Linked DNA regions of Anolis sagrei. The protein of the gene in region 1 interacts with the protein of each later gene in a biochemical or structural test. Links are inferred from orthologs where the notes say so. Each region holds a gene or a part of one and is shown in the gene's direction. Other genes may lie near its edges. The genes, in order: CDK9, CCNT2, MBP and CTDP1.

Region 1 (7,420 bases):
AAGAAGCAGCAGCAAATAAGGAATCAAGTAAAGATCTGAGTGATAAGGAGGGTTCCCATGGGAATCCACGTATAGCTACAGAGATCAACAAAAGTCTGTGTTTATAAATTAGAGACAAAAATAGATTGTGTCGTTCAGAGAGATTACATGAGAAAGTTCTGAAGGAAATTCACAGGAACCAACAATTTCATGGGTGTCTATTAAACAACAAGTTGTTTACCTTAAAGTCAGTTCAGGCAACACTACGTTAGAGTGAGAAGCTAAGCCTGAGTTCTCTTGTGCATACTGTATTTTTTTTACTTCCTTTTTCCAAATTGAATTACATACAGTGAGTCCTCTGTATCTGCAGTCCCCAGATCTACAGATTCAACCGTCAATTTCATATAGACAATATACGAAATTATTAGTAATTAGTAAGTTGTATCTAATTCATAAATTTTGGATATGCCAGGCATGGGTAAACTTTGACCTTCCTACCAGATGTATTGGAATTCCCACAATTCCTAACAGCCCCAGGCCCCTTCCTGTTCTCCCTCAGTAGCTTAAGTTGGAGGATTGATTGCCCCTAAAGAAAGACACATAACGGACCCATGACTGTCATTTCAAGCTCTGTGGAAACTAAATAGCCCCTTGAAACTGGACAGGGTCCGCCAGCCTTCAAATGGAGCCATTGTTAGGCCTCTTATCTGATGAGAGATCCTACAAAAAAAGGGAGAAAACATCAGCCTGGGGAGAAAGGAAGCAAGGAAGCGACTCAGCCAAAGAGCAGAGTGGAGCACCAGGAGCACAAAGGTCACTCCGCCCCCAGTGCCCCTGCGGGATGGAACAGGAGCTGTGCAACCATATCTTAAGGGCACTTCCCTTTTCCCCATGGAAAAATACATCCCAAGGCATGTGTCCTTGTTGTTGTGTACCATCATGCTGACTTCTGCTTAAGGTGGCCTTCTCATAGGGATCCCTTTGCCATTACTTATTCAAGGAGTGTGTTGTCGTAACCGAAGGCTTCTATGGCCAGAAGCACTGGTTTGCTGTGAGTTTTTTTGGCTGCATGTTTCGGAAAACCAGAATCTCCAGAATGTCCAGGGTGGGAGAAAGAACTCTTGTCTCTTGGAGGCAATTGCCCACCTTGATTAGCATTGAATGGCCTCGCAGCTTCAAAGCTTGGCTGGTTGCTGCCTGGGGGATCCTTTGTTGTGAGGTGTTAACTGGCCCTGATTGTTTAATATCAGGAATTTCCCTGACATGAAACTAATATCGAGCAAGAATTTAGGGGTCTTTGCCAGGAGACAGAGACCAGTCAGACCCACCAAAGAGAGTCCGTTCACCCTGGCAAGACAGATAGAAGCACCCAAAGAATTTTCCCTGATTTTTCCCGATAAAAGTTTCACCAAATTGAAGAAAATGCCATCAAATTGCCCTTATTTTGTTCCAGTTGGTACGGATGTCAAGCTGCAATCCCTTGCCAAAAACTGACATGTTTTGCAAGACAGAACAGTACATTTTTATAGAGAAACAGAGCTGTCAAATTCAAACTTCCCGCCCCCGTCCCCCTTAGCCGGCTTCACGCTGATTGGTTGGAGTCATCAGCTAGAGGGGAGGTGCGGCCGGCTTAGGCATGCCTCAGCCAATGAGAAAGCCAGCGCCGCTTCGGCCTCTCAGCCAATGGGTAGAAGGGAGGCAGGTAACAGGAAAAAAAATGAAGAAATGTCCTTTTGATTGGTTTAAATTATTAATGTTTGCAAAATAGGGGATTATGAGATCATTCCAACCTGGTGTCCTTGGTAAAACTATGAATTCCTTGGTTTTGAACCATCTTTTACAGAGTCCTGGGGGAGGGGGAGGTCACCTCCAATATCAAAACCAGCCAAGCTTTCAAGCTGCAAGGCCATTAAATGCTAATCAAGGTGGTCAATGACAACATTACCCATTTGCTTCAAGCAGACAAGAGCTCCTTCTCCCACCCTGGACATTATTCCACAGATCTATAAACCCCACTTGTCTAGTTTCCAACAGATCTCACAACCTCTGAGGATGCCTGCCATAGATGTGGGTGAAATGTCAGGAGAGAGTGCTTCTGGAACATGGCCAGACAGCCTGGAAAACTCACCACAACCCAGTGGTTCCAGCCATGAAAGCCTTCGACAACACAACAAAGGAGTTAATTTCCAATTTACTAACATCAGTGAGGCTGATAATAGCGAAAAATTGGAAATAAAAACATGATTTTCAGATAGAATAATAATAATAACAATAATAATAGAAGACTGGTACAAAGAAGTGTGGAATATAGCAATAAACGATAAATTGACATAAGACTAAAAAATAATTTGGAAATTAAATGTTTTTTGGAATATATGGGGGAAATTGATAGCACATGTCTGTGCTGAAGGGCAAGGAAGCAAACCTGCAGTGTAAACAATGATGTTTTGGAAATAATATATGAAGCGGTTAGGTCCAGGAGGGGACAGCACCCATCTTTATTTAATTCAAGGAATTTATGTTGTGGATAATATGTTAAAATTGGTAAAAACGTTGAAGCTCAACTCAACTGTGCGAAAACATAATAAAAGTTATGAAAAAAAAAACTAGAAAGACAAACAGAGGATGCCTCCAGGCAACAACAGCCAATAAATACCCTCACTGATTGACTCAGCAACTGCAAGGCCACTCAATACTAATTGCAACATTCACCAGCTATTGTCGAAGGCTTCCATGGCTGGAATCAGTGGGTTGTTGTAGGTTTTTCGGGCTATATGGCCATGTTCTAGATGCATTCTCTCCTGACGTTTCGCCTGCATCTATGGCAGGCACCCTCTGAGGTTGTGAGGTCTGTTGGAACGAGGAAATTTGGGTGGACATTCCACAGATATATAAACTCAAATTTCCTAGTTCCAACAGACTTCACAACCTCTGAGGGTGCCTGCCATAGATGCAGGCAAAACGTCAGGAGAGAATGCTTCTAGAACATGGTCATATAGCCCGAAAAACCTACAACAACCCATTCACCAGCTAACTCCTCCCAACAAAGGATATCCCCAGGCGGCAACCAGTCTGGGTTAGAAGCTGCAAGGCCATTAAATGCTAATCAAGACAGCCAATTGCAACATTCACACTTGCCACAGACCAGGGTTCTTTCTCCCACCCTGGGCACTATTCCCGAAGGAGACTCAATCCCGAAGGGGACTCAGAGCGGTTTACAAGATATATCTATATAAATAAAAATGTAATGTTTGTTTGTGGGATTAACAGAACTCAAAACCACTGGACGAATTGCTGCCAAATTTGGCCACAAGACACCTAATAACCCAAGGAGTGACCATTACTCAAAAAATTAATTTTGTCATTTGGGAGTTGTCATTGCTGGGATTTATAGTTCACCTACAATCAAAGATCATTCTGAACTCCACCAATGATGGAATTGAACCAAACTTGGCACCCAGAACTCCCATGACTAACATGGGCATTGATCTTGAGTTTGGGAGTTGTAGTTCACCTACATCCAGACAGCACCGTGGATTCAAACAATGATAGATCTGGAACAAACTTGGCACGAATATTCCATATGCACAAATATGAACACAGATGGAGTTTGGGAAAATAGAGCTTGACATTTGGGAATTGTAGATACTGGGATTTATAGTTTACCTACATCAAAGAGCATTGTGATCCCCACTAATGACAAAATTGGGGCAAACTTCCTGTGCGTGTGTGTGTATATATATATATATATATATATACACACACACACACACACGCACAGGAAGTTTGCCCCAATTTTGTCATATATATACACGCACGCAACACACATATATACATACATACACACACAATATTATTAGCATACATACTCTCCACTTGCCTCACTGACAAAAGAACCTCAGAGGATGCCACTGACCACAGATGCAGGTGAAACGTCAGGAGAGAATGCTGCTGGAAGATGGGCACACGTTCCAAAAAAAATCACAGCAGCCCAATCATAATAATTACTCATTTCAAACTTCCTGCCTTTACTGTAAGCCAGGCTTTCCCTGTGTCTTCGATCCCTCTTTCCAAAGCTTTGTTTTCCACTGAGTCTAATGAAGGCCTCAAGCGGACTTGCAACCTTGTACTCTACTTTTCCCTCAAAGTGGTATCAATATTCCTATATAAACATATGTACTATTATTATTAGTTAGGATTGCTTTCTGTCATTGCAATATTATTGTTGTTGTTTTCTACCATTGCAATATTGTTGTTGTTACTTGGGAGAGCCAGACAGGCCAGAGGAGAAGCAGCTGCAATCCTTCCCGCTCATTTCGCCGCCCACTTCCGGACTCTCGCGCAAGCCCCGCCCCCTTCTCGAACTACGACTCCCGGCGTGCATGGCGGCGGCGGCGGAAGCGGATTACCGGAAGTGGCGTCCCGGATGGAGGCGAGGCCGGGCGGAAGTGCAGCCGCACGCCCCTCAGACGGAAGCCGCCGGCAGCCAGAAGAGGTCGGGGTCGCCAGTTCTGCCATGGCCAAGCAGTACGACACGGTGGAGTGTCCCTTCTGCGATGAGGTCTCCAAGTACGAGAAGCTGGCCAAGATCGGGCAAGGCACCTTCGGGTGAGCACCCTCCCCTTCCTTCCTTCCTTCCTTCCCTTCTCTCAAGCAGGCCTAGGCCAACTTGGGCCCACACCAACTCCCACAATCTCTAACAGCCTTCCGGTGCTTCGATTGTGCATTTTCCGGGGTCTCTTCCAACTCTATTACTACTACTACTACTTCTACTACTAATAATAATAATAATGAGGCTGGGTGGCCATCGGTGGGGGGTGCTTTGATTGTGCCTTTCTTGCATGGCAGAAGTTGGACTGGATGGCCCATGGGGTCTCTTCCAACTCTATTATTATTACTACTACTACTAATAATAATAATAATAATAATAATAGTGAGGCTGGGTGGCCATCTGTCGAGATGCTTTGATTGTGCTTTTCCTGGATGGCAGAAGTTGGACTGGATGGCCCATGGGGTCTCTTCCAACTCTATTATTAGTACTACTACTACTAATAATAATAATAGTGAGGCTGGGTGGCCATCAGTCGGGTGTGCTTTGATTGTGCCTTTCCTACATGGCAGAAGTTGGACTGGATGGCCCATGGGGTCTCTTCCAACTCTATTATTAGTACTAATAATAATAATAATAGTGAGGCTGGGTGGCCATCAGTCGGGTGTGCTTTGATTGTGCTTTTCCTGGATGGCAGAAGTTGGACTGGATGGCACATGGGGTCTCTTCCAACTCAATTATTATTATTATTGCCACATCAGCACTTTTAATTCTGTACCCATTACTCTAGCCCGGCCCAGTTTTATTGTGTTTTGGTGTATTGTTTATTGCTTGTTGTTTAATATTGCTTTAATTGTTTTTAATTTGCTTTAGGTTTTGTATTGTTATGTTGTGTATTGAGACCTTGGCCTTTGTAAGCTGCATCGAGTCCTCCGGGAGATGCTAGCAGGGTACAAATAAAGTTAATAATAATAATAATTCTACTAATAATAATAATATTGAGGCTGGGTGGCCATCTGTCGGGGGTGCTTTGATTGTGCCTTTCCTGCATGGCCCATGAGGTCTCTTCCAACTCAATTATTAGTACCACTACTACTATTACTACTACTAATAATAGTGAGGCTGGGTGGCCATCTGTCGGGGGTGCTTTGATTGTACTATTCCTGCATTGCAGAAGGGGTTGGACTAGATGGCCCATGGGGTGTCTTCCAACTCTATTATTATAGAATCATAGATTTGAAGAGACCTCATGGGCCATCCAGAAGAAGCAGGAATATTGCATTCAAAGCACCCCTGACAGATGGCCATCTGGCCTCTGTTTAAAAGCCTCCAAAGGAGGAGCCTCCACCACACTCTGGGGCAGAGAGTTCCACTGCTGAACAGCTCTCACAGTCAGGAAGTTCTTCCTAATGTTCAGATGGAATCTCCTTTCTTGTACTACTACTACTACTACTACTAATAATAATAATAATAATAATATAGAGGCTGGATGGCCATCTGTTGGGGGTGCTTTGAATGCAATATTCCTCCTTCTTGGACTGGATGGCCCATGAGGTCTCTTCCAACTCTATGATTCTATAATAATATTGATTGTGCTTTTCCTGTATGGCAGAAGTTGAACTGGATGGGTCTCTTCCAACTCCATTATTGTTGTTGTTGCTTCTACTACTGAGAGAGATGTGATTTAGAAAATTAAATTCCCAATTATTACAAGTCCCAGAAGCCCTGTCTATAGAGAAAGAATGATTGTTCTCTGTGTTCTTTTTCAGTCAAAGATACAAGCAGTAAGTTAGGGGGTAAGCTCATTCCCTTACTCCTTAAATTTTCTCAGCCATGTAGATAAGCAACTTGCATATAGAGAAGCCACAGCTCAGGGTCAGACATTCCAACAGAATCATTGTTATAGGCTTTGATGTTAAAAACATAGAAGGACCAATCAAAAGTTGCCTGAGTGTTGAGTATAAAAACTTGGTTAAGAGAGCCACAAGGGGCGGGCAGTCTTTGTTCTTTGACCTGAACGGTCAAGGGCTGTCTGTCTCAATGCTGATCAGCTTGAAAATAAAAGACTTGTTGAAAAACCTCATCGGATCTCGTCTCCTCCCTGCCCTCTGGGCTCCATCACCTTAAATTGGTTTCTAACACAATTACTATTACTACTACTACTACTACTAATAATAATAATAATAATAATAGAGGCTGGGTGGCCATCTGTCGGGGGTGCTTTGATTGTGCCTTTCCTGCATGGCAGAAGGGGGTTGGATTAGATGGTCCATGGGATCTTTTCCAACTGCATTCTATGATTCTACTTTCTTCCTTCTCCAGCTCTGGAGGCCCTTCCACACAGCCCTAGAAATATAAATATATTGTATGAGAGAGTAAATGTTTTGGGCAACTGAAATAACACTTCTGAAGATCTATATATTTTGTGCATTGGCATAACTTTGTTCCTAACAGTTCAGAGAAATATCCAGGTATAGCAGTCTAACCACTGAGGGCCCTTCCACACAGCTCTAGAAATATAAATATATTTTACTAGCAGTCCCCTGCCACACATTGCTGTGGCCCAGTCTGTGTATATGTGTTTTGTGTGTGTGTATATTTGTGTATATGTTTACTAGCTGTGTCCTGCCACGCGTTGCTGTGGCATATAGTAAGAATTTTCGAAGAAGAGGTAGATATCTGGACTATTATGAAAGAGCAGTACCTACCTATTCCTCCCCCCCCCCTTTTTCCCCCTTCCCATTTCTCTCCTTTCTTCTCTACCTCTTTCTTTCACTCCTTCTTTCGCTCTTTGGTTTCATCCTTCCTTCTCTCTTTCCTTCCTTCCCTCCCCCTTTTTCTACTTCTTTGCCTCCCTTCTTCCCTCCCTGTTTCCTTCCTATATATTTTTGC
Region 2 (7,966 bases), on another chromosome or scaffold:
CCATAGCAACACGTGACAGGGGACGGCTAGTACATATATAAAATGTATCTATCTCTGGAAGATGAGACCCAAGTCTAAACACGAAATATGTGTTTTATGTGCACCATATACATATAGCCTGAAGACAATGTTATGCAATGTTTTAAAATTAAATTTGTATATGAAATAAGGTTTGGGTACATTGAATCATCAGAAAACAAAGGTGTCACTGTCTTAGCCAACCACGAAGGAAATTTTTGATTTCGGGGTGTTTTGGAATTCCAGATAAGGGATGTTCAACCTGGAATACAACTTCTATGGCTCTTTTATACCTATAGTTGGGGGCTAAGGCTTGGCTCTTTGAACCCAGACTATGAACCCTTCCATAGTGGGAATATCACCTAAGATTATTGTGACTGACAGCAGAATCAGAAGGAAACAGCCAATCACAGTCCAGAGAATGTTGAGGAGGGCGGGGTGAAGGGGAAAGCCCATAGGACAGTTTAACTGACGAAGTTTTGAATGTATTACTGACAGTTGAGTGGAATGGTACTGAGGGAGACACAGTTCTGTCTGAGAGAAACAAGAGAAGAGAAAGTAGTTTTAGGGCTCCAGAAGTTTTGGAGTCAGATACAAATGGTGACACTGCTAGAAGCAGTGAGCCAGCATTTGTGTTTGTTGTGATAAGCCTTTTCTTGAATAAACTGTTCCTGGTTGTTTAAGTTCTTGTCTAAGCCATTCATTGAGATATTTGTACCTATTTGGTTCAGTCTCACGGCCCTGAGATGGTGGTAAGCCCAAAGGAGGGAATTCAGACTTATCTGTACTGTCCAATTAATGCAGTTTGATACCACTTCAACTGCCATGGCCCACTGCCGTTTTAACCTTCCTTGCTGCACCAGATTCCAAATCCTAGGATTCCACAGCATGGAGCCATGGCAGTTGAAGAGGCCTCAAATGACATGAATTATGCATTAATTTTGTTTTAAAAGTTTGAATCATTATAATGATTTTGAATGGCTAAAAACAAATTAATCGACACATTAGACAGAGCCCGTTCAAAATGAATGGGGGCCCTTACAAAATTGTTGTTGGGTGCCTTTTCTGACCTATGGCAACTCTATCACATAGGTCAGGTACGAATAAAACTTTATTGGCAAGATTTATTCAGAAGAGGATTGCCGAGGCTGAGGGAGTGTGACTTGCCCAGGGTCACCCGCTGGGTTTCCATGGCCGGGTGAGGATTTGAACCCTGGTCTCCATAATTTGCAAATAAATTCGTTAAAAATCAGACAATGTGATTTTCTGGATGTGTTTTCTCATGTTGTCTCTCATCGTTGAGGACTGCCTATGATGTCAATTACAGGCCTCTATCATCTTTTTAAATGGGAGAACTTGTACAATTGCTATCTGACTAAATACCCCCCCCCCCCCCCAACTGTATGTATTTTCCTCACAACTCTGCACCATTCAAAACTGTCCTGTGAGGTTTAACCAGTTTTCTAGAGTAGAAAATTGAGATTACACGGAGGGGTGCTTGGGCGCTGTTTCCTAGATCTACTGGTGGGTTTTTTTTTTCAGCAATGCAAATACTCACTGGACTTTTGGTCTGTTTCTAAAAAAAAAAAAATTGTACACCTGACAATACTTTTGGTTTCAAAAAGCTAGGCTTTCGCTGTAATAGGCAGTAGGGACACATAAAGCTTCGGAGAGCTTATGTTCAATCATTTCAAAGCTCCCTGCTTGAGCGGTGATGGCACGATCTGAGGCTGAAAGAGTATGACTTGCCCAGGGTCACCCACTGAGTTTCCATGACTGGGCGAGGATTTGAACCTTGGTCTCCAGAGGGAGAGGGTGTATGCCAGTTAAAGTGATGCAAACTGAATTAAGTCTCCAGTGCAGATCAGGCACGGACAAACTTCGGCCCTCCAGGTGTTTTGGACTTCAACTCCCACAATTCCTAACAAAACACCTGGAGGGCGGGAGTTTTCCCATGCCTGGTGTAGAGGTATCCCTACAGTGTGCATGAAGTATTCAAGCCACTACACTACTGCTCTGGGACTCAGAGCAGCTTACAAGTTATATGTACATACAATACATTATATTATTAGCATAGCACAATATTAGTATTATATATTACTATATTGTACTATACCTCTATACTGTAATATTATTAGCAATATTACATGTAATATGAAATATATAATAATAATAATAATAATAATAATAATAATAATGTTTTCATGGCAAGAATACTGGGGTAGGTTGCCATCAGCCAGGAAATCAGAAGACGTTTACTTCTTGGGAGGAGACCAATAACCAATCTCAATAAAATAGTGAAGACTAGAGACATCACACTGGCAACGAAGATCCGCACAGTTAAAACAATGGTATTCCCCATAGTAATCTATGAATGTGAGAGCTGGCCATAAGGAAGGCTGAGCAAAAGAAGATAAGACGCTTTTGAACTGTGGTGCTGGAGGAAAGTTCTGAGAGTGTCTTGGACTGCGAGAAGATGCAACCAGTCAGGAAATAAAGCCTGACTGCTCATTGGAGGGAAAGATATTAGAGGCAAAGATGAAGTACTTTGGCCACATCATGAGAAGACAGGAAAACTTAGAGAAGACAATTATGCTGGGGAAAATGGAAGGGAAAAGGAAGAGGGGCCGACCAAGGGCAAGATGGATGGATGGTATCCTTGAAGTGACTGGATTGACTTTGAAGGAACTGGGGATGGCGACAGCTGACAGGGAGTTCTGGCTTGGGCTGGTCCATGAGGTTACAAAGAGTCAGAAGCGACAACAAATAAGCATTATTATTAGTATTATATTGTATTACATTATAACATTATCAATATTGTATGTGTATACAATATATTATTAGCACAACACAATATTTGTATTATATATTACTATAGTCCTCTATTGTGCATGTAGCAGGGCTCAGGTTGCATTGCAGCAGGTAGTCAGTGGTTTGCTCTTCTCCACACTCGCATGTCGTGGATTCCACTTTGTAGCCCCATTTCTTAAGGTTAGCTCTGCATCTTGTGGTGCCAGAGCGCAGTCTGTTCAGCGCTTTCCAAGTCGCCCAGTTTTCTGTGCGCCCAAGAGGGAGTCTCTCATTTGGTATCAGCCATTGATTGAGGTTCTGGGTTTGAGCTTGCCACTTTTGGACTCTTGCTTGCTGAGGTGTTCCAGCAAGTGTCTCTGTAGATCTTAGAAAACTATTTCTAATATATTGTAATATAATATAAAGTAATATATAGTATTACATTATAACATTATCAATATATGTATATACAATATATTATATTATTAGCATAGCACAATATTAGAATTATATATTAATATATTGTATTATACAGGGTGAGGCAGCATAATTTCCTTTTTTAAAATGCGCACCATTCAGTCGGCTCAAGACTTAGTGGAGCGCTAGTGGTCTTGTTTGAGAGGCGGGAGTATAAAGTTTTGTCCTGACACAGTTCAGACGCCATCATGCATTGGAACAGTGAGGAGCGTGCTTTTGCCGCTGAGGCCTACTTTTCAAGCGGATTTGGAGTGGTCGGCCCGCTCTCCAGATTTGGCCCCTTGTGATTTTTTTCTATGGGTTTTTTTGAAATCTCGTGTTTATGTGACCAGTCCAAGGACCCTACAAGATTTGAAGACCAACATCCAGGAAGAAATTGCCAACATAACGCCTGCTATGCTGGCAAGAGTCATGACAAACGCCAGAAATCGGTTTACTCTGTGTATGGAGAATGGAGAATGGGGAACGTCACCTACCTAATTTGATCTACAAAACTACGTAAAACAAAACTTTAGGTATGTGCCTGTTGTTGTTCATTCGTTCAGTCGTCTCCGACTCTTCGTGACCTCATGGACCAGTCCACGCTAGAGCTCCCTGTCGGCCGTCACCACCCCCAGCTCCTTCAAGGTCAGTCCAGTCACTTCAAGGATGCCATCCATCCATCTTGCCCTTGGTCGGCCCCTCTTCCTTTTGCCTTCCACTTTCCCCAGCATAATTGTCTTTTCTAGGCTTTGCTGTCTCCTCATGATGTGGCCAAAGTACTTCAACTTTGTCTCTAGTATCCTTCCCTCCAATGAGCAGTCGGGCTTTATTTCCTGGAGGATGGACTGGTTGGATCTTCTCGCAGTCCAAGGCACTCTCAGAACTTTCCTCCAACACCACAGCTCAAAAGCATCAATCTTCCTTCGCTCAGCCTTCCCTAAGGTCCAGCTCTCACATCCGTAGGTGACTACAGGGAATACCATGGCTTTGACTAGGCGGATCTTTGTTGCCAGAGTGATATCTCTACTCTTTACTATTTTATCGAGATTGGACATTGCTCTCCTCCCAAGAAGTAAGCATCTTCTGATTTCCTGGCCACAGTCTGCATCTGCAGTCATCTTTGCGCCTAGAAATAGGTATGCGCCTACATTATATAAAAAAAATTCTGATTGATACAAGGGGTTTTATTAAGTTTTGAAAAAAAGAAGTTATGCTGCCTCACCATGTATATTGTAATATATAATACCATATTATATGATGCCACTATTCTGTTTTATTATTAGCAATATTACATGTAATATGAAATATAACATTATTGTATTGTATTATTATATTGTATTACATTATAACATTATCAATATTATATTTGTATACAATATATTATTAGCACAGCACAACATTAGTATTCTGTATTACTATACTGTTGCATAATACATCTTCATGGGAAGCGGCCTAAAACAAAAGCTCCCGAGCCTTTCTCCGACTTCCGGTTTGATCCAGGAGAGGTTATTCGAGCGCCTCTATAGCCTTTCTCACCTTTCCCGGCGACTCTATGGTTTATTGGAGGCCGCGTGCAGCGTAGAGCCGGCAGGCTTTCGGCCACGCGGATTGGAGCTCTCGCGAGAGGCGCCGCGATGGCAGAACAGGCGGAGGGGGAAGAGGAGGAGGAGGAGGAAGGGGCGGGGCCTGAGCCGGGCGCGCCGGTTGCGGGTGGAGGAGGAAGTCGTGTCATGGCGGCGTCGTCTGCGACGGGTTCCGGGCCTGGCGCGAGCTCAGCGGCGGCAGCGGCGGCAGCGGCGGCGGCGGCGGCGGCATCTCGTGGCGCGGGCGGCTCTCGCTGGTTCTTCAGCCGGGAGCAGCTGGAGAGTACGCCTTCGCGGCGCTGCGGCGTCGAGGCCGACAAGGAGCTCTCGTACCGGCAGCAGGCGGCCAACCTCATCCAGGACATGGGCCAGCGCCTCAACGTGTATCCTTGGCGGCTGGGCCTGGGCCTGAGGGAGGCAGCGGGGGGCAGAGAGGGCAGCAAGAAGCGGGGAAGGAAGGCGTGGCTGGGAAAGAAAGGGTCTTCTGGTGGCTGGCGGAGAGGAAGGGCCCCACCTCAGGCTTTTGGGCCTTCGCAGGCCTTGCCTGGCTCCTCCCTTCTTCTAGGCAAGGCGCCTCAGGCTCCCCCGGGAGTCGCGGAGGAAGGAGGCTTGAGCTCGGCGCCGCCGCCTGGAACCCCACGGGGATGCAGGCCCCATCTGCACACTTATTTAGCTGTATTCGTTCATGCACTTCGAAGCTAGTTAGTTATGCAACTTCTCACACAACCACACAAAAGCAAATCTCGATTTCTATCTTACGTTGTGGCCTGTGTAAAGCGTCTGCACTGCCCCGTGAAATACTTGCCATGCCCCCCATGCTGTTTAAATGGCGGGTAGTGCGTAAGGAGGGGGAAAGGGGCACCCAGAAGGTTCTCTGTATGTTCTTTGGTATGGGAAAGGAAGAAAATGTTTCATACTCCCTTTTTGATTTCTACAATATTTTTTCTCTTGTACAAAAACTACAATTTTAGATATAATTAATGTTAAAGTCATTAAAAGTAAATAAAAGCAAATATAACTTAATGTAACACAGTTTCACTGTATTATAAACAACTTCATGAGTGCAGTATGCAATTTCAATTAAGTGGCCAATACACTTCACTTAATGAACATCACTAACAAACTTCAATTTAAACTGTACATTTCCCCTTAAAATTAGGGGTTTTTTCCAATTTAAATGTAAAGTAGTATTTAATTTTTTGCTGATTTCCTGGGAGTTCCAGTTGCTTGAAATCTAGTTAACTGAAAGTCTACTGTATTATTATTATTGTTATTACCTAGGGTAACCAAGTTTCAGCCTTTGAAATACTAGAGAAATACAAAGCCAGTATGGGAGCTGGGAGGATCCAAAATACAGGAGTTCCCTGGAAATACAGGAAAGTTGGTCACTCGTTATTGCCACTTATAAACTGTAAACTGAGTCTGTTTAATACAGGTTGAGTATCTGTTATCTAAAATACTTTGAACCAGAATTGTTTTGAATTTTGGGTGTTCCCCCCCCCCCCCCCCCCCGTTTTTGTAATACCCATATTTGCATATACATATATCAAGAAGTATCTTGGTCTTGGGATCCATGTCTGAACACGAAATTATTTTATGGTTCTTAGACACTTTAGATAGATAGATAGATAGATAGACAGACAGACAGACAGACAGAGATACAGGCAAGTCCTCAAGTTACGATCAAGATAGGTTCTGTATATTTTAAGTTGAATTTGTATATAAGTCAAACAGGTACACTTTTAAAGTGTATATCCAGACACACACACACACACTCGTGTGTGTGTGTGTGTGTATGTAGTTTTAGTTAGCATAGGGAAGGCATAACACCCCTGTTGGGTTCGCTTTGCTCTGTGTTCCTGTTCAGAAGATTTCACCTCACTTTCTGTCCCTGTGATAATTGGATTTTGGAAAAAAATGTCTTGGTGTGGAAGCAAGGATTGGTGAGAAAGCGTCAGTGGAGACACCTTTTCCCCATGATAACTCCTTCAGGAGTGAATTTCCCTTCCAAGGGTAGATGTTTGTCACTTCCTGTTGTCTCACCTCTGTTCTTCACTATGAGTCGATGTTTGTAACTCTGAGACTGCTTGTATAGCTTACGGATAATTTCATAGTATTTTTAAGTTGCGCATGAAGCATCAAAAAACAAAGGTGTCACTCTCTCAACCTCCCTTGTGCACATTTTTGGGATTTGTGGTATATCGGATTTCAGGATTCCAGATAATGGAAACTTAACCTGCACTAAGATAAGCAATTATGCTTACCCTCCTTTGACTCCAGTTGCAAATAATTGAAACGGGAGATAAAATATATAATGGGAAAACTGTATAAATCTGGTATTATTATTTATTCATCTAGAAGGTGAAACTGGGTGATACTGAGTGGATAATATTGAGCAGTTTATTCCAGATTCTGACATAACATTTTTAGAATTATATTATTGGAAATGTTAGAAAAACTTCTCACCTTTTAAAGATAAAATAAAAATGACCAAACCATCGCTATGTAGTATTTTATACCTGAACTAGCTGTACCTGCCATGTATTGCTGTGGCCAACTTTCCCTCCCTCTTTCTCTCCTTTTTCTCCTTCCTTCCCTTTTTTCTTCTTCTCCCTTTTTTTTCCCTTCTTTTCCCCTCTTTTCTTTCCCTTCCTATTTTTCCCCTTTCTTTCTTTACCTATTCTTGGACTGCAACTCCCAGCAGTCCTCCTGATCCATCAATCTATCTATCTACCTATCTATCTCTAATCTATCTGGAGGATTGTTGGGAGTTGCAGTCCAGGAATAGGAAATTGGAAATGTGCAGGGATTGGGATGCTCTCAAAGAAATCCAACGAGAAGAAAGCTTGCAGCTTGGAAGCAGTGCATTTAGATCATCCTCCTCCTCCAAAAGGGCCTGGTCTAGGGGATGCTGGGAACTGTAGTCTGGAAGAGAGTGTGGATATGCTATTATGTGTGTTGTTTGCTGGGGGAGTTGTTTTTGTGCATGCACTGTAGCGTCTTTTTGCTTTTTTTTACCTTTTAAGTCCCTTCCGCTGTGTTTTTCAGTGTTTTCATGAGTGAAGGTCACTCAGTGGCCTGATAGGTATATTGTGTCCAAGTTTGATGTCAATTCA
Region 3 (7,823 bases), on another chromosome or scaffold:
CTCACTTTGAAACAGTTATTATACTCCAGAAACTTTGTTTTTGTGGCTTCCACAAACTATGTTGAATTGACTGAGACTATGAGATATTCATCAAAAATCTATAGCAAAATGTGCTGCAGATTGTCCTGCAAAAAAAGTTTTTGCAGTTTAATAAACTTTTTGCCATGTTTTTAAAGATAGAACCAATTAGGGAATGGCATTTATAACCCAGAAACAAAATTTGTATTACATAGTGTTATGCAATCAAAACCTCTCTTCCTGACAGGTAGACAAGTGATGAGATCAGAAACAATACCCAGGAGAATTCCAATCCACCCCTAAGTTTGGATTATGACCTGCTTTTAAAATAGGTTGGGCAAACAATTGGTTGGAATCACTTTGGTGGGCTGGAATCGATAAGCCAAAGAAATCTATGGACTCTTTGCCAGTGTCATTTCCATTCTACATATTGAGCAGATTGGAGAAATTGCTTATCAAGAGAGCCTAGTAAAGGAAAAGGTTCTCCCCTGACATTAAGTCCAGTCATGTCCAAATCTGGGGGTTGGTGCTCATCTACTAGGCCTGGGTAACAACGCAAAAATTTGTTTCTAAAATCGATTTGTATTTGGGGGGTTTTTTTGTTTCGATATTTAAAATAATTACAAAATTTTCCCTTAAAAAAGTTCGGTATTTACGAAATTTCGTTAATATTTACAAAACATTTTGTAAAGATGGCGCCCTTTTTTTTCAATATTTTTTCAATATTTTTTCAATATTTTTTCAATATTTTTTCAATATTTTTTCAATATTTTTTCAATATTTTTTAATTTAATTATTAATTTAGTAGAATAGGGAGGAGAAATTATTATTAAGGAGGGAAGGCAGGCACTCACTCTGGCGGGCCCTCAAGCGCTGACGCCGAGTCGGGCCCGGCTCCTCCGAAGCAATGCGAAATTGGGAGAAGGGCTCCCCAAAGGCCATCTAGCCCAGCCCTCCGCTAAGGAATTGGGAGAACGAAGCACAGCCCTCCGCTAAGGAATTGGGAGAACGAAGCACAGCCCTCCGCTAAGGAATTGGGAGAACGAAGCACACCCACCGCAAAGGTGAGGAAGGAGGGACGGGCCGCCTTCCCGCTGAGGGTCGCTCGCCCTCTCGCTCGCTTGCTCAGCCGGCGCCTTCCCCGCCCTCTCCTTCTCGGGAGAATGAAGCACACCCACCGCAAAGGTGAGGAAGGAGGGACGGGCCGCCTTCCCGCTGAGGGTCGCTCGCCCTCTCGCTCGCTTGCTCAGCCGGCGCCTTCCCCGCCCTCTCCTCCTCCTCCTCCTCCTCCTCTTTCAGGCTCTGACTGGCTAAGGAGAGGAGAGAGAGGAGAGCTCCCAGCAAGCATCTAGCCAAGCCATCTTACGTATTTCCGAAATGGACGGAAATACAAAATTTTTTGGCGCATGCCGTTTCGATATTTAAAAACGCTTCCGGGTTTAAAAATAAGTTTTGTAATCGTTTTGTAATTGCTAAAATTAACGAATATTTAACGAATTACAAAATTAACGAATGAAACCGCCCAGGCCTATCATCTACATTTCTAAGCTGAAGAGCCGACGTTGTCTGTAGACACCTCCAAGGTCATGTGGCCAACATGACTGCAAGGCATGATGATACCTTCCCACTGGAGCAATACCTATTGATCTACTCACATTTGCATGTTTTCGAACTGCTAGGTTGACAGAAGCTGGGGCTGACAGCGAAAGCTCACGCCACTCTCTGGATTTGAACCTGCAACCTTTCGGTCAGCAAGTTTAGCAGTTCAGCAGTTTACCCACTGCAGAAGTTTAATGGGAGACCACCAATGAATAACCAGGTGCTACAGTCTCTATTTGAGGAGAAGGGCCTGGCAAAATCAACTCTGAGTATACCTTGCCTAAGAAAAACCTATGGGGTCACCACAGAACCACAGCCAACCTGCATTCACACACACAAGGGTCAGACTATCCTTTAAGATGTGTGGTGTAGTGATTAAGTGTTGGACTATAACTCTGGAGATCAGGATTCAAATTCATGTCAGCCATGGAAAGCCACCTTGAGCAAGTCACACACTCTCAACCTCGGAGGAAGGCAAAAGCAACTCTTGCTAAAAAAAAAAACCTCTGGATAGATTCACCATAGGGTCACCAAGGAAAGCTGTAATGCTTTCCTTACTTCACAAATGAGATGGGAGAAAATGTGTCAAACCCAAGGCCAGTGGGTCAGATCCAGCCCACCATGCCATTTTATGTGGCCTTCCAGATGCTGGACTACAATTTCGATGTTCCTCATCAAGAACTAGAACTGATGGGAGTTGTGATACAGTTACATCTGGAAGGCTGCAGCTTGTTCTGTTTAGTCAGGAGATTGGACTTTGAATTTAGATATAAGGATTGTAGATATATCTGACCATAAAATGTCCTTTAATTGGATTGCTGTGAGTTTTCCAGACTGTATTGCTATGTTCCAGAAGCATTCTCTCCTGACGTTTCACCCACATCTATGACAGACATCCTCAGAGGTTGTGAGGTCTGTTAGAAACAAGGCAAGTGGGGTTTATATATCTGTGGAATGCCCAGGATGAGAGAAAGAACTCTGTTGGAAGCAAGTGTAAAAGTTGCAATTGGTCACCTTGATTAGCATTGAATGGCCTTGCAGCTTCAAAACCTGGTTACTAAGCATGAATCAAGGAACATGAAAGGCACTGCAGACTAACTCAACCAGAGAAGTCAGCCATAGCAGAGCACTTGATGAACCAACCTGGACACAACATATTATGTGAGAACACAGAAGTGCTGGGCCACTCTAACAACTACCATGTCAGACTACACAGAGAAGCCATTGAAATCCACAAGCATGTTTACAATTTCAACAAAAAGGAGGAAACTATGAAAATGAACAAAATTTGGCTACCAGTATTTAAAAAACCTCTAAAATCAGAACGGTAAAGAAAGAGCAACACTCAAAAAACAGGAGAATTCCAGACAGGAAAAAATCAGGGCCAGTTAACACCTCCCAACAAAGGATCCCCCAGGCAGCAACCAGCCAGGCTTTGAAGCTGCAAGACCGTTAAATGTTCATCAAGGTTGCCAACTGCAACATTCACACTTGCCTCAAACAGACAAGAGATATTTCTCCCGCCCTGGACATTCCATGGATATATAAACCTCAAGCCACTCTAAACACCTTCACAGGACCATACGAGAAGCTCGGCCTGTCATTGAACATTGAGAAAACCAAAGTGCTCTTCCAGCAGTCACCAGCCAATCCCTCTCCAATGCCAGAAATGGTGTAACATTAAAAAATGTTGACTATTTCCGCTACCTTGGTAGCCACTTCTCTTCACCAAAGTCAACATTGACACTGACATAAAACACCGCCTGAGCTCTGTGAGTGCAACTTTTTTCCGAATGAAGCAGAGAGTGCTTAAGGACCACGATATCCACAGGCGTACCAAGGTATTTGTTTATAAAGCTATTGTCCTCCCAATGCTGCTATATGCCTGTGAGAGGTGGACTGTCTACAGATGTCACATGCAACTCCTGGAATGATTCCATCAGTGTTGCCTCCGAAAAATCATGCAAATCTCTTGGGAAGACAGGCAGACAAATGTCACCATGCTGGAAGAAGCAAAGACCACCAACATTGAAACGATGGTCCTCTGCCATCAACTCTGCTGGACTGGTCATGTTGTCTGGATGCCTGATCACCATCTCCCAAAGCAGTTGCTCTACTCTGAACTCAAGAATGGAATACTGAATGTTGGTGGACAGGAAAAGAAATTTAAAGATTGGCTCAAGGCCAGCCTTAAAAACTCTGCCATAGACACTGAGAACTTGGAAGCCCTGGCCCTTGAGCGCTCCAGCTGGAGGTCAACTGTAACTAGCAGTGCTGTAGAATTTGAAGAGGCAGGAATGGAGGGCGAAAGAGAGAAACGTGCCAAGAGGCAGGTGCGTCAAGCCAACCCCAATCGAGACCGCCTTCCACCTGGAAGCCAATGCCCTCACTGTGGGAGAAGATGCAGATCAAGAATAGGGCTCCACAGTCACCTATGGCCCCACTGCTGGGACACTGACCCTGGAAGACTATCCTACTCGGACAACGAGTATATAAATCTCACTTGCCTAGTTTCCAACAGACATCACACGTTCTGAGGATGTCTGTCATAGATGTGGGCGAAACGTCAGGAGGGGATGCTTCTGAAACATGGCCATACAGCCTGGAAAGCTCACAGCAACCCAAAGATTTTTTTTTTATTGTTATTATCAAAGAAAGGAGCTCTTTGTTTCCGTGTGCCTTCCAGGCGTCTCTGACTAAGAGCGACCCTAAAGTGACCCTATGGCAGAGTTTCCTGCCTGTGACTCACCCAAACTGGGCTTTCCATGGCGGAGCGGGGGCTCATCCGAGTCCTAAGTCCGGGCTCCATCCGGGACCCTTGAGCGAAAGAGGTAAAGAGAGGTGCCTGACCCTGTCCTCTAACCTCGCCCTTTGGCTCTCCAGGTGGATTGGACTTCGACTCCCAGAAGCCTCGGCCGTTTGGTCAACAGTGGGGGATTCTGGGGATGGAAGTCGGCAACATCTGGAGCCCCTTACCCGCTCTCCCCGCTGGGCCAAACCGAAAGTGGGGATGCGGGACTGGAGAGCCCGGAAGGCAAAAGCAGCAGCGAGGGAAAGAGGCTCCACCTGGCAGGTTGAGGAATGCTGGCAATGAGAAGACGGGGAAGTCCCTGGATCCGGGGAGGGGAGGGCTGTGCTCCCTGCCTCCCTCCTCTTTCTACTTGCTCTCCCTCCTCCTCCTCCTCGGGTTGCCATTCGCGCCGTCCTTCCTGGTTCTTCTCGAGCGGGCGGCGCCCGGGCGAAGGTGCATCGGGAGGGGCGAGGCGTCGGCGGAAGAGCAAGCAACAGCCTCCCCCTCCCCACAACCTGCTCTCCGTATCTGGCAGGAAAGGGACCAGAAGGCTTGCTTTGGCTACAAGGCGCGCTCGATTTCCCCCTAAACACCAGCTTTGGGCGACCCTTGCGTGGAGGAAGAAGGCGGGGAAAGGCGAGCAGCAGGAGCCAGCAGCGCTTCCCGCGCCTGTCATTGGCGAGAGATAGCTCGGTGAGCCCCCAAAGAGAGGGACCTCCCCGCTCACAATCGCCTTCCTCGGCTGGGTGGGGGTCCCTTCGGTCTCCACCCGCAGGCCTTGCCCTATCTTCGCCTCGGATCTCCCCTCCACGGCGCAACCCATAGAAGAAGAGGCGAAGGACACCTTAGGTGAGTGAGTGGCTATTGGGCTTGATTCTTCTTGGTCTTCTCCAAAGCTTTGTCTCCCACCAGGGCTCCCTTTTCCCTGTCACTGGGGGCTATCAAGGCAGAAAATCCCACAAGGTCTGCTTTGAACTGGGTTATCTGCGGGGCCTCCCACACAGCCCTATATCCCAGAATATCAAGGCAGAAAATCCCACATTATCTGAGTGTGAACTCAGGGCCCTTCCACACAGCCCTTTATCTCAGAATATCAAGGCAGAAAATCCCACAATATCTGAGTGTGAGCTCAGGGCCCTTCCATACAGCCCTATATCCCAGAATATCAAGGCAGAAAATCCCACATTTATCTGAGTGTGGACTCGGGGCCCTTCCACACAGCCTTATATTCCAGAATATCAAGGCAGAAAATCCCACATCTGAGTGTGAACTCAGAGCCCTTCCACACAACCCTATATTCCAGAATATCAAGGCAGAAAATCCCACATCTGAGTGTGAATTCAGGGCCCTTCCACACAGCCCTATATCCCAGAATATCAAGGCAGAAAATCCCACATTTCTCTGAGTGTGTACCCAGTTCAAAGCAGATATTGTGGAATTTTTTTTGTCTTGATATTCTGGTATATAGGGCTGTGTGGAAGGGCCCTGAGTTCACACTCAGATAATGTGGGATTTTTGCCTTGATATTCTGGGATATAGGACTGTGCAGAAGGGCCATGAGAGAGAGAGAGAGAGAGAGAGAGAGAGAGAGAGAGAGAGAGAGAGACTGGGTCTGGTGACTTTAAAGGGAGAAAGAGGGAGAGGAAGCTTGAGAACCTGGCGAGGGATAGAGAAGAGAGGAATGGCTGGTTGGGGCACAGGTAGAGAAGGAGAGCACATTGGACTGATTGATTCTTCTGTAGTATGTTTATGTATTGACCAGAAACAAAACAATGCAACAAGAAACTGGGGGGGGGGGGAGGCTAATGGCAATGTTTATCAGCCCTATTTTCCCACCTCTGCCATTGATGGTGGTTGTCCTCCACCCTGGATGGATAGTCTGCGGGCCCTTCCACACAGCCCTATATCCCAGGATATCATGGCAAAAAATCCCACATTATCTGAGTGTGGACCTTAGATAACCCAGTTCAAAGCAGATATTGTGGGATTTTGATATCCCGGGATATAGGGCTGTGTAGAAAGGCCCTGGCAGTAGTTCTCAACCTGGGCTCCACAACCTTGGAGGTCTGCAATATCCTCAAGGGGGTCAGCCAAAGATTGAAGACATGGTATGATTTTTTTTTTTGCTGTGAAATCATTATAATCCAGATATTCTAGTAATTGTGTCTGCATTCACAAGCTTGAAGTGTATCCCCTGCTCTCTAAATGTGAGGGACCTTCATGAGAACATGGAAGTAATTGTTTGATGCAGCTTAGTGCATCCAATCCTGAGTTCGCTCTTGGTGGCCCGTGGCCACAAAAGGTAGTCCATGGTGAAGAAAAGGCTTAGGACCCTTCCACACAGCCATATAACCCAGAACATCAAGGCAGAAAATCACACATTATCTGCTTTGAACTGGAATATACGTCAGTGTGGACTCAGATAACCCGGGGCCCTTCCACACAGCCCTATATCCCAGAATATCAAGGCAGAAAATCCCACTGTATCTGTTTTATACTGGGTTATCTGAGTCCACACTACCATATATTCCAGTTCAAAGCAGATAATGTGGGATTTTATTCAGCTGTGTGGAAGGGGCCCTTTTCCAAAGCAGATATTGTAGGATTTTCTGCCTTGATATTCTGCATTACATTTCTGTGTGGAAGGGCCCTGAGGCTTCTTCCAGACAGCTAAATATAACCCCACATTTTTCGCATTGAACTGGAATATATGGCAGTGTGGACCCAGATATCCCAGTTCAAAACAGATACTGTGTGGTTTTCTGCTTTTATATTCTGAGATATAGGGCTGTGTGGAAGGGCCTAGAGAATCACTGGACTAGAGTTCATAGAATTATCAAATTTTTGGCTGGATTGACACTACCATATAATCCAGATGATCAAAGCAGATTAACTGCTGTGAACTGGATTGTATGAGTCTACATTGCCATATAATTCAGTTCAAAGCAGCCTTGGGCCCCTTCTACACTGCCATATAAAATCCAGATTATCTGCTTTGAAATTGATTATATGGCAATGTAGACTCATATAATCCAGTTTCAAGCAGATGATGCAGATTATCTGCATTGATAATCTGAAGGGGCCCTTAGATTTCGAAGAAATCACAAGGACCATTCAGCCAAATCCCCGCCACACTGAAACACATACTCTAAGTACCCCCTATAGATGGCCATTGTGAGGGCCAATCATGCCCACCTATCCCCATTTTGTGTGTGTGTCAGGACCAACTTGAGAAACTCCATGTTGCTTCTGGTGTGAGATGTTGCCCGGGGAGACCCAGATGTTTGAAATTTTACCATCATTGTGGGAGGCTGCTCTCATGTCCCACATGGGGAGCTGGAGCTGACTATAGGGAGCTCAACCCGCTCTCCTTGGATTCAGCAGTCCTGTCGACACAAGTCTTTAATCCATTGTG
Region 4 (7,017 bases), on another chromosome or scaffold:
GTATTTCTATAAAATATATTGCTTGATATACAAGTGATGTCATCTGCTTACAAGAATAAAATTGCAGATAGAAATCAGAGACAAAACACTTACAAAGCAAAGAGGTTTGAGGTGGGAGCAGAACATAAAAATCAATTGGAGAGGACACTGCTGTTTGAAAATGTGAATATTCTTGAAAAGCAAAGGTGTGTGTCTGTGTTGGGATGTAAAGTGGGCATTTATCAAGATCTTTTTGAATTATTTTATATATTTGATCTTGGTGTTTCAACCTGCAAAACACTTCAATTTGTATTTTAGGAAAAAATGCTATTGTTTTGGAATCATTTAAGGATACATTTTGGAAAATGTGGTGTTGGCCAATTGCAATGAAGGAACAATTCTGAAGCCCAATGGATCATGTAGGATTAGACACTTTAATTGTTTTAACAGTGGAAAAGTAAGGTTCACCCAGAGTGGGGAATACACAATCACCAGATGTTGGATTGCAACTGACATTAGTCCTTATTTATTTCTGTTGGAAATAGCAATCTTCTACAAGCCTCCTATACTAGTTGTTATGTACAGTATATAATTCAGATTGCTTGCTGTATTATATATGTATGTTTTGATATGCAGCTTCCTTAACTCTATGTTGTTTGAGGTTGTGAGAGAGACTGCAGACCATGTGATCAGATCTGGGCCTATTCATACTGAGGCTCCATTTTAGAAATCAGTATAGTATTGTGTTGTGTTATATTTTATTGTATAGTCATTTTCATTAGGCATTAGGCATAAGACAGAGAAGAGAATGAAACAGAATGCCTTAGAGAACTTACTGTTTAAACTTTCAACTGATAAACAATGTACCTGTATGCTGAATACATAAAGTTTGTAAGAAAATCAACTATGTTATTTTTTTAAAAGACTGCTTATTTTTTGTCTCATGAGAACATTATTTAAAACCAATGTATTTTATGGGAGAGTAGATTTTGGGGGGGGGGGGGGCAACTGAAGCAAAACACTCCTGAAGATCTTCCATTTATTTTGTGCATTGTCATATCTTTGTTCCTAATAGTTCAGACAGATAACCAGGTATATCAGTCTAACAACTGAGAAACCTAATTGCCTTGAAGCAATACTAGTGGATATATACCGCTAAAGAGAAAATTCACTCAAACGAGTTTTTAGTTTTTCTCAGGAAGATCTTTATTTTACAAAAAGGTTATGATTTTCCAAATGGTAGTGACTGCCAATTAATCTCCAAAAGGTCACGCTTCCAAAAGGCTTTGAAGAGTCTGGTTTTCCAAAAGGTTATGATCTCAATGGTCATCCTTTTCCCAAAAGGTTATGCCTTTCCAAAAATTTCACCCTATGCTGAAGAATTATAGGAGGGGCACATATTCCCTGTGTTTTCTTTAGACCTTGAATACAGTAACTGTTAATTCCCTAAAGGTGTTAAAGATTACTAGAGTGCAAATGTTGTATATTTTCCATCAGATATTTAAAGTTGCTGTGGAAAAGTCTATTTTGCTGTTTTACAAGAGGAACTGGCTTTTCTGGAAGAATGAAAATTCAAATGGAATGTAAATCTTTGGAATTATGGTAATTTGCCATAAATACAGAGGAGTGGCACCAACAGAGGGCAAGGACAACTAGAAGTAACTTCAAAGGCATAATCTGCTTATGCACATTTTTTTCATAATGATGATGACACTTTGGGTTTGAAAGTTTCCAAAATTTCTAAATGAGTGGATCAAAAAAAAATGCATCTATGTAGCCCTTTAACACAAACGAGATCCCAAACTGATGCAACAGACTCTCATTTAAAGGGCACTCAATGAGGACTGATAGATGCTGGATAAGTGTAGTTTCTGACTGCTTGAAAGTTTCTATTAAAACTTGGGCTAAATAATACTATACCTCATACTTTACCACATCATGAACTCTATGTTGCCATGATAGTACTATTGAAAGAAAGACACATCTGACTTAATGTAACACAATTTTATAATATTATAATATTGTATCTTACTGTTCCCTCAGCGACAGCAAGAGCATCCCTCTGGGCAGCTAAACCAGGAAATCCCAATTGGATGGTCCCCCATGAGGGTCTCCCTCCAAGAGCAAACCAAGTATGGGCAACTTGGAAGTCCTTGAACAGACTCAGAAGTGGAGTGGACAGATCAAAAGACAACCTGGCAAAATGGCACTACCTAAAAGAATCCTCCACCTTGTGCGACTGTGGAGCAGAACAAACAATTCTGCACCTGTTTGCTTGTCCACAATGCCCTGCCTTGTGTACAGAGGAGAAGTTGTTTAACGCTACAGACAATGTGGTTGCTGTTGCCCAGTTTTGGTCAAAAATTATTTCGCTGATTGTGCTCCTTCTATTTTTATCAATTTTATATTTATGTATGCAATGCCTTTGAAACGCAATAAATAAAATGGTATTATAAAAACACAGCTTTGTCAATGCAGTATGCAATTTTAGTTAAACAGCAGTCAACAAACCTTTGCCGTTTGCTTGACAACTCCAGTTGCTTGTTTTCTGGTTAACTGAGAGTCTACTGTACAATGATGAGACAGCAAGAAGGAATAGAAGACCCGGAGCTCCAAGGAAGAAAATACAATACCTTCTGCAACTGGACTGTTTCCACAATGGAATTTTTATATTTTATAGAAAATTCAAAACTAATATAAAATGAGGGAATTGTCCAATAACAGCTGAATGACCCTTTTCTTAATGTTTTATTAGAGAACTTTTGAAAACTGGTAGCTTCAGGTCATGACATGGGCTGGTCCATGAGGTCATGAAAAGTCGGAAGCGACTGAACAAATAAACAACAATAACCCACTGTGAAAAGCTTTGGCTTCCCATATCCAGTAAACAGAATATGGGGAAAATGAGATTGCCACAGGTCACTTTGCTAAAATTCATAATCCGTCATTCAGGGAGCATCACCCTTCTTTGTCCATTAATTCTGTATCCACGGATTCAACCTTCCACGTCTTTAAAAGGTTTTAATTCAAAAATCCAGAAAGCAAATGAGTGATCCAATACAACAGCCAGCAGAGTGATCTTGTCTGCTGTGGACTCTGGAATGTGTCCAGAGGAGGGAGACTAAAATGATCAAAGGTCTGAAGAACAAGCCCTATGAGGAGCGGCTTAAAGAGCTGGACATGTTTAGCCTGAAGAAGAGAAGGCTGAGATGAGAAATGATAGCCATGTATAAATATGTGAGAGGAACTCATAGGGAGGGAGCAACCTGGTTAACTCATGAATTTTAACTGGTTAACCAAATCCCCATGCTAAGTCTATGAAATTGCACCTGCAGAAAAACCATCAAATGCACTGGAAGCATATCTTGTCTGTGATTGAGAGTTTTTTTCCGAATGTGAAGAAACTTCTTTAAATGAAACATGCCAGTTACCCTTTGTAGTCTTTTACCTAAGTCATTGCTATCTTAAATGCTGGTTATAAGTTTTAATCCATGTTTAATCAGTTTTATCTGCTGGGTTGTTGTAGGTTTTTTTGGTCTATATGGCCATGGTCTAGAGGCATTCTCTTCTGACGTTTCGCCTGCATCTATGGCAAGCATCCTCATAGGTAGCGAGATCTGTTGGAACTAGGGAAAAGGGTTTATATATCTGTGGAATGACCAGGGTGGGACAAAGGACTCTTGTTTGCTGGGGCTAGTTTTATCTGCTGTTAATTCCACCCACGTCATGTGTTTTAATCCATTTTGGCTATTTTTGGCCTTACTAACTTTGCATACCTTTTACAGAGCAATAAGGGTCTTTGGATTGTATTAAAAATGTTGTTGTTGTGTTATCAAACTACTCTTCATGATTTGCTAAAAAAAAGTTTCAACACCCACCCCCACCCTGTAATGTGGTGTTCAAACTGCATTAGCCAGGGCTTAAAAGCTGGGACACAAACTCTGCCGCGCATGCGCGTCCCACCGGCTCGTCTGTTATGCAGCCCACGCGGAGGGGTGGGGAAGAGGGCTCGGGCCCCGTTGCGTCACCAGCGCCAGCGCGCGAAGCAGGAAGGGCGTGGCTTAAAACTTTCCATCGTCAGACCTGCGATGCCTTCCTCTCGCCTTGGTGCGGCTGTTCCTTTAAGGCAGCAGGGACGGAGCAGCAGCGGCGGCGCCGTGCGCCTGCGCAGCAGAGTCTTGACCTCGCGCTCCGTCCGCTGCGCTGCTCGTGACTACTTCTTCGTGTTGTTGTTGTTTTTTTGAAAAAGAGGGGGAGGGGAGGAAAGAGGGGGGGGAGCTGCCGTTTGGCATTCGGTTCTTATCGCTGAGGCGGCCGTTGCCATAGCGACCCCGCGTCGGACGGGCCCGGCCTAGGAGGCCATGGAGGAAGACCCTGGAGCAGCTGCCGCCGCTTCGGCTTCTGAAGTGACGGAGATCCGGGTCCCCGGCCCGCAGCCTCTGCGGCTCCTCGAGTGGAAAGTCTCAGCCGGGGCGGCGGTGAAAATCGGCTCGGTGCTGGCGGTGTGCGCGCCTATCGCGGCCTCTGAGGCGCGGGGCCCGGAGCGGAAGGTCAAAGCGGAGCGGCCTGGCGTGGTGCGGGAGCTGTGCGCGCGGCCGGGACAAGTCATCCCGCCCGGGTGAGTCCGGAGGAGAGGAGCGGAGGGAGGGAGGGAGGGCAGCCGGGGCGGGACTAGGCCTCGCCGCGCAGCTCATCTGAGCAAGCACCACAGCACTCGCCCCATCCCTGGCGCAGGAAGGAGGAGGAGGAGGAGGGAGGGAGGGCGCCAAGAACGGCATCAGCCCGCCCCTCCTCCCCCGCCCTCTCGCGCTCGCCCTGACTCTGGAGAAGGAAGCCAGCTTCCTTCCCCCTACCTCCGCCTTTCGCAGCCTGGGAGGGATCACGAGGGGGTGTCAGAGGGGGCGCCGAAGACTATCAGAAAACAGTATTTCATGCGGGTTCTGTGGGAGAATTTTGGTCCAATTCTATCCTTGGTGAAGTTCACAATGCTCATTGATTGTAGGTGAACTATAAATCCCAGCAACTACAACTTCCAGTATCCGCTGGGTAATGGAGAAAGGCAGGGAGTTTCAGGAAAAACATCTATTTCTGTTTTATTGACTATTCTAAAGCCTTTGACTGTGTGGATCATAATAAATTGTGGCAAGTTCTTGGTGGTATAGGTATACCAAATCACCTTGTCTTTCTCCTGAGGAATCTGTATAAGGACCAAGTAGCAACAGTAAGAACTGAGCATGGAACAACGGACTGGTTCAAGATTGGGAAAGGCGTATGGCAGGGTTGTATACTCTCACCCAACCTATTTCTGTTTTATTGACTATTCTAAAGCCTTTGACTGTGTGGATCATAATAAATTGTGGCAAGTTCTCCGTAGTATGGGGATCCCAAGCCACCTTGTCTCGCTCCTGAGGAATCTGTACAAGGACCAAGTAGCAACAGACTGGTTCAAGATTGGGAAAGGCGTACGGCAGGGTTGTATACTCTCACCCAACCTATTCAACTTGTATGCAGATCACATCATGCGATGTGCAGGGCTTGAAGCATGCAAGGCTGGGGTGAAAGTTGCTGGAAGAAACATTAACAACCTTAGATATGTAGATGATACCACTTTGATGGCTGGAAGTGAAGAGGAGCTGAGGAGCCTTCTAATCAAGGTGAAAGAAGAAAGTGCAAAAGCTGGGCTGCAGCTAAACATCAATAAAACCAAGATTATGACAACAAGAATGATTCATAACTGGCAAATAGAGGAAGAAAACATGGAAGCAGTGACAGACTTTGTATTTCTAGGTCCAAAGATTATTGCAGGTGCAGACTGCAGCCAGGAAATCAGAAGACGCTTACTTCTTGGGAGGAGAGCAATGACCAATCTCGATAAAATACTGAAGAGTAGAGACATCACATTGGCAATGAAGATCCGCATAGTAAAAGCAATTGTATTCTCCATAGTCACCTACGGATGTGAGAGTTGGACCATAGGGAAGGCTGAGCAAAGGAAGATAGATGCTTTTGAATTGTGGTGTTGGAGGAAAATTCTGAGAGTGCCTTGGACCCCAAGAAGATCCAACAAGTCCATACTTCAGGAAATAAAGCCCAACTGCTCACTGGAGGGAAGGATATTGGAGGCAAAGATGAAGTATTTTGGACAGATAATGAGAACACAGGAAAGCTTAGAGAATACAATTATGCTGGGGGAAATGGAAGGAAAAAGGAAGAGGGGCCAACCAAAGGCAAGATGGATGGATGGCATCCTTGAAGTGACTGGCTTGACCTTGAAGGAGCTGGGGGTGGTGACAGCCGACAGGGAGCTCTGTCGTGGGCTGGTTCGTGAAGTCACAAAGAGTCAGAAGCGACTGAATGAATGAACAGCAACCATGCAACTTCCAAATGACAATATCAGCCCTCCCCCCAATCAAAGAGCATTCTGAACTCCACCAACGATGGAATTGAACCAAATGTGGTACACAGAACTCCCCTGACCAACAGAAAATACTGAAAGACTTTAGTGGCCATTGACATTGAGTTTTGGTTGTAGTTCACCTACATCCAGAGAGCACTGTGCACTCAAACAATGATGGATCGGGACCAAACTTGGCACAAATACTTAATATGCCTAAATGTGAACACTGGTAGAGTTTGAGTGAAATAGATCTTGACATTTGGGAGTTGTAGTTGCTGGGATTTATAGTTCACCTACAATCAAAAAGCATTCTGAACCCAGCCCACAATGGATGTTTACTAAAATTGGCACACTACCTACATGGCCACCATTGAATGTTGGTGGGGTTGGAGGGGGCTGTTTTTGAATACTGGGAATTGTAGTTCCCCAACACCAAAAAAAGAAGAGGACAGGTGGAGATATTTTCAGTCTTTTCTGTCAAAGGGGTTCCTAAGACCATCAGAAATATATGTTTCGGATGGTCTGTGGAGCCCCCTCTGAAACCCCCCTCACAACTCCCCCAGAGGTCCCAACCCCCAGGTTGAGAAACACTGTGTTAGACTCAAAAATAACTCAGGTGGGGTGATTCCACCATAAATACT

Evidence for each region.
Region 2: the proteins of CDK9 (region 1) and CCNT2 form a complex in vitro, tested with the Homo sapiens proteins (4 studies listed by BioGRID, with this or other methods). The link is inferred for Anolis sagrei from reciprocal best matches to the Homo sapiens genes CDK9 and CCNT2.
Region 3: of the proteins of CDK9 (region 1) and MBP, one has a biochemical effect on the other in vitro, tested with the Homo sapiens proteins (2 studies listed by BioGRID). The link is inferred for Anolis sagrei from reciprocal best matches to the Homo sapiens genes CDK9 and MBP.
Region 4: of the proteins of CDK9 (region 1) and CTDP1, one has a biochemical effect on the other in vitro, tested with the Homo sapiens proteins (3 studies listed by BioGRID). The link is inferred for Anolis sagrei from reciprocal best matches to the Homo sapiens genes CDK9 and CTDP1.

Annotation. Positions count from the first base shown.
Region 1 is NC_090031.1:16,134,846-16,142,265, reverse strand, and holds the start of CDK9 (cyclin-dependent kinase 9), read left to right. Parts: upstream 1-4,401; 5' UTR 4,402-4,405; coding exon 4,406-4,587; intron 4,588-7,420. UniProt on the Homo sapiens protein: Protein kinase involved in the regulation of transcription.
Region 2 is NC_090021.1:214,095,578-214,103,543, reverse strand, and holds the start of CCNT2 (cyclin-T2), read left to right. Parts: upstream 1-4,957; 5' UTR 4,958-4,997; coding exon 4,998-5,233; intron 5,234-7,966. UniProt on the Homo sapiens protein: Regulatory subunit of the cyclin-dependent kinase pair (CDK9/cyclin T) complex, also called positive transcription elongation factor B (P-TEFB), which is proposed to facilitate the transition from abortive to production elongation by phosphorylating the CTD (carboxy-terminal domain) of the large subunit of RNA polymerase II (RNAP II).
Region 3 is NC_090024.1:74,469,146-74,476,968, reverse strand, and holds the start of MBP (myelin basic protein), read left to right. Parts: upstream 1-4,807; 5' UTR 4,808-5,257; intron 5,258-7,823. UniProt on the Homo sapiens protein: The classic group of MBP isoforms (isoform 4-isoform 14) are with PLP the most abundant protein components of the myelin membrane in the CNS. They have a role in both its formation and stabilization.
Region 4 is NC_090024.1:76,171,553-76,178,569, forward strand, and holds the start of CTDP1 (RNA polymerase II subunit A C-terminal domain phosphatase), read left to right. Parts: upstream 1-4,000; 5' UTR 4,001-4,340; coding exon 4,341-4,597; intron 4,598-7,017. UniProt on the Homo sapiens protein: Processively dephosphorylates 'Ser-2' and 'Ser-5' of the heptad repeats YSPTSPS in the C-terminal domain of the largest RNA polymerase II subunit. This promotes the activity of RNA polymerase II.